Rattus norvegicus: one gene and its partner. The protein of the gene in region 1 interacts with the protein of each later gene in a pairwise test. Links are inferred from orthologs where the notes say so. Each region holds a gene or a part of one and is shown on either strand. Other genes may lie near its edges.

Evidence for each region. The genes of interacting proteins can lie anywhere in the genome.
Region 2: the proteins of Tfg (region 1) and Anxa11 interact in binary tests that used the Homo sapiens proteins (3 or more experiments, as listed by UniProt). The two-hybrid records come from large-scale screens. The link is inferred for Rattus norvegicus from reciprocal best matches to the Homo sapiens genes TFG and ANXA11.

Annotation. Positions count from the first base shown.
Region 1 is NC_086029.1:57,371,717-57,375,362, forward strand, and holds part of Tfg (protein TFG), read left to right. Parts: intron 1-2,057; coding exon 2,058-2,198; intron 2,199-3,646. UniProt on the Homo sapiens protein: Plays a role in the normal dynamic function of the endoplasmic reticulum (ER) and its associated microtubules. Required for secretory cargo traffic from the endoplasmic reticulum to the Golgi apparatus.
Region 2 is NC_086034.1:1,418,404-1,422,652, forward strand, and holds the start of Anxa11 (annexin A11), read left to right. Parts: upstream 1-1,330; 5' UTR 1,331-1,385; intron 1,386-4,249. UniProt on the Homo sapiens protein: Binds specifically to calcyclin in a calcium-dependent manner. Required for midbody formation and completion of the terminal phase of cytokinesis.

The sequences.
Region 1 (3,646 bases):
TTTTTTAATTCTTCAAGTGTGATATGGTTAAGGGTGGAAATAACTACCACAGTAATGTAGAAGTCAAGAGACTGAAGTCAGAAAAACAGGTAAACAACAGTAACGTGCTACATAGGAGAGAGAAGAAGAGCCAAGCCCTGAGTGTTTTTAAGATTACTATAATACAGGGTCTTCTCTAGGGAAGTGTGCATGTGTACAAGTAAAGCTGTAAACAGCATTCCTGTTACCATAACCGAGCATAGCTTCTCATTAGCACTTGACTGTTAGTGGACAAGCCATGTGCCTAAAATGGTGGTATATCAGCTTTGTCTTGCAGTGACAAAGTGCTTTAGAAAATAACCTAGGGTAGTGGTCTCCACCTGTGGGTTTCTGCCCTTTAGAGGTTGCATATCAGAGATCCTGCATATCAGAAATTTACATTATGATTCATAACTAGCAAAATTATACTTATTAAGTAGCAATGAAAATAATTTTATGATTGAAGGTCACCACAGCATGAGGAACTTTATTAAAGGGTCACAGTATTAGGAAGGTTGAGAGTCACTTCAGGAAAAGGGATGTATTTTTGGTCATGGTTTCAGAAATCTCAGTTCATGGCCCACTGGCTCTGTTAGCTTGGGCCTGAAACAAGGCAAACACCTTAGGGGCTGAGTGTGTATGAGAGAAGGCTGTTTACTCTGGTAGTCAGGAAGCAAGGAAGTCAAATGGGCTACTGACAAGATGCATTCTTAAAGTGTTTGTTCTCAAGAACCTACTCCTTTTTCCCTTTCACCTTCTGGTAGCCCACCGTCTATAAGTTCATGGTGGGATAACCCAGTTACAATGTCCAAGCATTCATTTCAGACACTTTGCAAACGTTCATCAGCTTTATACTTAGACTTTGGTGACCTTTTAGATTTAAAGTTCTCAGGACATGCCACTGGAACAGTTGGAGACTGCTTTTAAGGAAAGCCTGCTAATAATTGTGAGTGGTTAAATCAAGCTTTCTAAGTGCTAATTGCTTTTAGAGGATTTTGCTGTAAACTTTAACTCATAAGCCTTCCAAGTAGCCTTGAGGTCAGAATTGGTTTGCCTTTTAAGTAGTTGAAGAAGCTGTGGCACAGAAAGGTTCAGTAGCCTAAAGTCAGCAGCCACTGTTAGCTCTAGCAATACAACCTAAGGAATTTAGCTCCAGAACTCTTCATATCACCTTTCTGTGTGGTAAACTAACTTAAAGCCATAAGCCTTGTGTTATCTTCAGAATCCACTTACTGTCACAGTATTAGAAGTATACAGAAAATCTAGATTCTCTGTACTGGCTCCTGTGTTTTCCTTACCCTGACAGAGTTTGATTGACTGTAGGTATTAAATAGAGTCCTAGTCCTATCAGCAAAGAACAAGAGAGTATGGCCAGAGTTCTCAGTCTTAAGAAAAATGGGGCCAGTATAGACATTTATATAAAGTAGAAATCAGTGTTACCTATTTAAAAAGTAAGCCGTAGATAAATTCACTAGGAGATAAAGTATAAGTCAAAGATTCATTAGAATTATAACTAGGTTTTAAAGAAGGTCATTTAAGTATGCTGCAGTTAGTCATAGAGTGGAGAAATTATGATAAATGAATTAGAGACCAAAACAATGGCTAGATATCCTATGAAACCATGAGCTGGATAATTTTAACTAAAAGAAGAACATGTGAGAAGACTAGTGAGAAATGTTTGGATCTCTGAACATAACCAGGGAGATTAAATTGAGTTTACAGACAGTAGAGACCTACTTAAGAAAGCAGCCCTGTGTTTGGTTGATTGTAGATAGGAGTTTTGATTTTGACAAGGGGAGGTTAGGACTCAGGAATTTAGAATTTCACACATTGTAAGGAAGGATTTCCAATTTTTACTTTGGATCCTATAGACTGGAGCAAATGTGAAAATATGAAGCACATAAGTGTAGTGTATTCTCGGTGACATGGTTGTTTCATGGTGATTTTATTTTTATTGTCATTAACCTAAATCTTTAAATTGCACTTGTTAAGGAACGAGTTTGGACAGAGTAATTAACTGACTTTTCATGACCACCCAGGACCACCCAGTGCTCCTACAGAAGACCGTTCCGGAACACCTGACAGCATTGCTTCTTCCTCTTCGGCAGCACACCCAGCAGCAGGTCAGCCACAGCAACCTCCCTATGCAGGAGCTCAGACACAAGCAGGTCAGATTGAAGGTAAAATAGTGTTCAGAGCCATAGGTGGGAAGGGACATGTGCAGAAGTGTTCACTGAGGCATCATTGGTAATGGCAGTCCATTTATATAGGTAGTCTCACTGTCTTCACAGATGTAAAAGAGTCTAATACTAATGTGAGATTTAGTATCATGAACCAAATAATATACAGGATATATTTCTGATTATTGAAAGGTAGATGAAAAATGTTTTAAGTTAATATAAACACAAAATGAAAGAGTGGGGAAAAATACTTTATAATTTCCCCTCCAAACACTACATTTTCTGTCACTTAAAAAGATTTTATGTAGAGATGGTGAAGCATAATTTTAGGTAAATAATGTAGTGGACATGGGTCAGTGCATTTGCAGTTAATTTTTTTTCTCTTCAAATTATGTGTCCTTGGTAAGTAATTTAATCTTGTGAGTTTTGATATTTTTCTACTGATTAAAAAATGTGAAAATTGGACTAAATCAATCATTTTAAAAAATACCTCATTAATCCTTAATTAAATTGAAAGTGCAGTATTTCAAAGGGCTGGTTGGTATTTGTGAAGGATCTCAGATGCCTCATTGAAACACACAACTCATTGACGACCTCATTGACGAAGTCAGAACACCACTAAGGACCATACCTATCTCTAGGGCAACCCTTGACATGACCTTGTTTCTTTTTTTCTGTTAACTGCTTGTACATGTTAGGACCTTTATAAGTGCACATTTTACTTTAAAACAGTAAACACCAGATGGTGCTCTAACACTGTACCAAAGGGTTGATGATGATCTAAAGTCCATAGCACCTAAAGCAGCATTTACATTAAAACAGAAACAAACTACAGCAGTCGGCTAGAATGAGCTGTGCCTGGAGTCTTCTTGTCCTGTGGTGATGCTTTCCATGCTTGCTCACTGAATTAGTGTGACTCGTTGGGGACTAGCAGGTGGTATCTTATGTATTCTTATGTTACGTCTTTTCTCCACCAACTTTAGTCAGTCTTACTCTGCATCAAATATGCAAGAACAAGAGCTAGGGCAAACTAGAAGTGATGGGATATTGGTTCAGTGGGAGGCTGAAGCAGAACACAGAGTTTGGGTGGACAAAGGTTGTAACATCCATGCCAGGTGAACTAAAAGCCATTGTAGCACTGATGTCAGTTATTAGAAGGAGAATTGTACAAAAAAGGTCAGTGGCAGAAATGAGATACGATGTTTGCTTAGCAAGATTTCACTTGTCTTTTGAGGGCTTTTTTTAATTGCCAAATTATCAAATCTGTTAAGAATAGTTTATATAGTGAAAATGGTCTTCTACCTGTGTTCTCTAGCAATACTCACCATATTCACATTATACTATTGATGCATTTTCTTTGGAGTGGCATTAATTACATGCCTTGCTACAGCTGTTTCTTATCTTACATTTATGGCTATTTAGCCAAGTATGTCTGTATAAATATGTAA
Region 2 (4,249 bases), on another chromosome or scaffold:
GACTGTCCTGCTCATTCCCGCCTGCACACGGACCCCTCTTGGGGCAAGGCAGACCATACCTACCAACCAGGATCCTTCAAGAGGCTCCTGAAATGCAAATGACGAATGGCTTGTTTGCAAATCAAAAGTGGGCGGTGAAAGAAGTGCCCTCCAGGTGAGAGCTAGATTGTGAGGAACAGCAATCCTTAAAGGGGGATGGGAGGTGGGGTGGTGGTGGATCCTATAGAGTCCTTAGGAAGAACCTAGTTGACTCCAGGGCACCAATTGAAAGGCACCAAGATAAAGTGAGGAAAAAGAATACTGCAATCCTGTTTTATAAACAAATACGTTTGCTTAAGCGTCCTAAGCCATGCACATGTAGAAGTGTGTTGGACAACTGAAATGAGGTGCCTAAACGTGACCTGGGGAGAGTAAGACTCTTAATTTTTATTATTTTTCCTTTTTTATTTGATTTTTTTTATTTATTTACATTTCAAATGTTATCCCCTTTCCCGGTTTCCCGTCCATAAACTCCCTATCCTATCCCCCCTCCCCTTAACTTTTATTTTTAAATGTTACACAACCATATTTATTGTACTACCTTTTTCTAAACAAGCAAACAACATGATTTTCCCCTGCAATTAATATACTAGTATTTTTGCTACAATGAATAAACCAATACTGATGCATTGTTATTAAAATCTATATACTGTTCAGATGTCATTAGTTTTCAACCTAATGTCCTTTTCCCAGGATCCCATCTAAGAAGACACATTACTTAGTTTTCGTATCTCTACGTGACAGCTTCTTAGACTTCCCTTATTTTGACAACCTTGAGAGTTTTGGACAGTCCTGAGTTCCTCAACTGGGGCTTGTCTGATATTTTTTGCACGATTACTATGGGGTCATGTGTCATAGGGAGGAAGACATCACACGACAGAAGATCAATATAAATCACCACTGCTGATGTTGGCCCTGATCACTGGCTGAAATGGTAATTTTTTCCACTGTGAAGTTTCCACCTGCCGTACACAGTGGCCGTTTTAAATTTTCTTCACGGTCATACCTCTGAAAATAAACACCCGAAAGATGTTCTCTCACCCCACAGTCTGGAGCGCGGCTCTGCTCCACTGGGAAAGCCCAGGGCTTCCTACAAGAAGTCACTACCAAGAGCGCGGCTCTCACCTGTGGGCGTGGCCACACGCACCCCGCCCCTCCAGAGAGACCCCGCCCCGCTCCGCTCCTGTGGCTCCGCCCCGGGGAGAGTAAGGCGGCCGCGCCCGGAGAGTTTTCCGCCCTGCGGGCTCCTCCTCCGACCGTGCGCAGACACTCTCGGGTCGAGATCCGGAAAGCGAGACTTGGAGGTAGCTGCTATCCGAGCTCAGTGTCCCGGTCCCTGGTGCCAGGTGCGTGAGGGTCCCGTCGGGCGGTCTGTACTTGAGGGGTATTCGCGTGTGGCGTGGGGTGTAATGTTCCTCCGGATGACCAGGCCCGGAGTTGAACGGGATCAGGGCAGGTGAGCCTGGGATCCTGTGGTCCCATGATGTGCGAACTTGGGGTTGGTCAAGGTCTTATCTCAGTGCGTTTCCGGGAGAAGCTTGAGCGGAGCCCAGCCGGCCGAGAACGCTGTCTTGGGGAACTTTGCTCCGGAACTGCAGGGCGCGGGTTCCTGGACCTGCCACCCTGGGTTTATATAAGGCAGGCTCCCAAGCGGTCCAGAGAATGCGCGATTGTGCCAGTTGCCGTGTTGCCTGCCTTCCTTACGGCTTATCCAGCTACGATCTCTCTGCCCCTGCCCCCGCTTCTCGTTCCAGAGACCTAAAGAACTCTTGCTTGGGCTTGGCTCCCCGACTTCCCGTCGGCTCAGGCCAGCCTCCTAAAGTCGTAGAAGGTGGCAAACAGTTCTGGGGGAGAATAGTTAAACTCAAGTTGGGCACATTCTCTCAGGAGATTTCTCTTTCCGCTCGCTAAACAGTAGGTGTCCTTGGAGATTGGGTTTCACGGACCCTACACCTAGAGTGTCAGCCTACCTGTCTGATCCGTTCACTGGACTCATCTAGCTTGCTCCGCGCTCGGTCCTGCCCGTACTATAAAGCTTGCCCCGAGGCAGCCTTATTGAGGAAAAAAAGGCTACAAATGCGGCCCTGGGTTGGGCTGTTCTCTAGTGTAAATTTTGCAGATGACAGTGTGTGTGTGTCATTGTCAAAATGATGACTATTCCTGAAACTGGAGCCTTGCAGGGAAGGGCCAGGTGTCTTGCTCACCCTCGGCTTGCTCCCATTATGTTCCTTTATTATTTCCTTGCTTCAGCCAGTTGTTGGGAATTCCAGGAGGATTAACAGGGCTGGTTCTTCTAGGCCTTGTCTGTGCTTGGTATTCTCTAGCTCCGGAAGCCAGGTGAGCTCTCCCGCAGTCTGTTTCTCTAGCACACTCGCCCACTTTGGATTTCTCCATCTCTCCTGATTTCTGAATCTCGATTTTTCTTCTCCATAAAATGAGGGCACTTATAGTTCCTATTTCATAGACATTGTGAGGATTCTGCGAGTTAATTTTTTGTTCTGTTTTGCTTGTTGTTGCTATTGTTAGTTAATTTTGGGGGAGTTTGTTGTTTGTTTGTTTGTTTGTTTGTTTTGAAACAAGGTTACCTATTTAGCATTGGCTGTCCTGGAACTTGCTTTGTCTGGTCTCAAACTCCAATCTCAGACTCTTACAGACCTCGGCCTCCTGAATGCTGGGATTAAAGGTTTGTGCCACTCGCTCAGCAAGCTGATTTTTTAAAAAGCATTTATATTATTTTTAATTAAGTGTGTGTGTATTCAAATTCCCTGGAGCTGGACTTACAAGTTGTGAGCTTTCTGAGTCTGAAATCTGGTTGTCGGCAAGAGCAGTCTTCACTCTTTTTTTTTTTTTTTTTTTGGTTCTTTTTTTCGGAGCTGGGGACCGAACCCAGGGCCTTGCGCTTCCTAGGTAAGCGCTGCAGTCTTCACTCTTATCCACTGAGTTATCTTTCCAGTCCTATGAGTTCATCTATTTTTACCTTTTTTGTTTGTTTGTTTGTTTGTTTTGTGTGTGTGTGTGTGTGTGTGTGTGTGTGTGTAGCCCTAGGTGTTCTGGAACTCTTTAAGATTCTATTGGCCTCGAACTCAAAGATCTGACTGCCTTTTAAACAAATTTTCTGTTTATAAGTGGTTTTTGTCTTCGTGCATGTCTGTATACCATGTGGGTTCCTGGTGCCCTTGGAAGACAAAGAGGGCACTGGATACCCTTGAACCAGAGTTGCAGACAGTTGTGAACCGCCATATAGTTAGGTACAAGTGCTTTTAACTGCTGAGCCATCACTCAAACCTTGAGCTGCTTTTCTTTTCTTCTTTCCTTTTTCTTTTTTTTTCATATAAGACAGAGTCTCTCAGTGTCGATCTGAGTGTTCTAGAACTCGATTTGTAGGCCAGGCTGTCCTTGAGCTCATAGAGATCCACCCGCCTCTTCCTCCTGAGTGCTGGCATCAAAAGCATGCACCGCCTTACCCAGCATTCCTACTTATTTGTTTACTTATTTATTTTTGAGACAGAGTTTCTCTGTGTAGCCCTGGCTGTTCTGGAATTCACTGTGAGACCAGGTAGGCCTTGAGTGCACAGAGATCTGCCTGCCTTAACTCCCAAATGCTGGCTGGGATCAAGGGTGTGTGCCACCATTGCATGGTACAGGTTGGCCATTGCCGCCTGGCACAAGTTGATGTTTTTAGTGTCTCTGCCATGCTCAGGTACCGAGCAGTTAGACTGGTGGCAACTGCTGACTGCACCTGTGCATGACTGATGAACGGATGATGCTCGGGTTAGCCATAAAGCACACAAGGTGAGGCCTGGTGTCTAAGTAATCAAAAAACCCAACTGCTAGTAGGTAATACAGCAAGAGCAAGAGCATGGGGTGCAGCTGGCTTGAACTGCCCCGCACACACCTCTCTTCCCTCTTTCCCCTGTTTTGTCCTTATTTACAAACCATTCTGGTGTTCTGCTCTCTGGTAGGAGGGCCAGATATGCCCTCTTTAACCTCTCTGTCATTGGCCCAGTTTTCCGGAGAGGCCTTAGAAGGATTTGTATGACCACATATCTAGTCTTTGTGCCTTTGGGGGATGGAGACTTTCTGAATCTTTTTAGGTGCCTATGTGGGTCCTCTTTTTGGTGGTGATGGTGGTCGTGGGTTCAAGATGGTTTCACTGTAGCTCTGGTTGAACTGGAACTCTCTCTATAGACCAGTCTAGCCTCAAACTCAC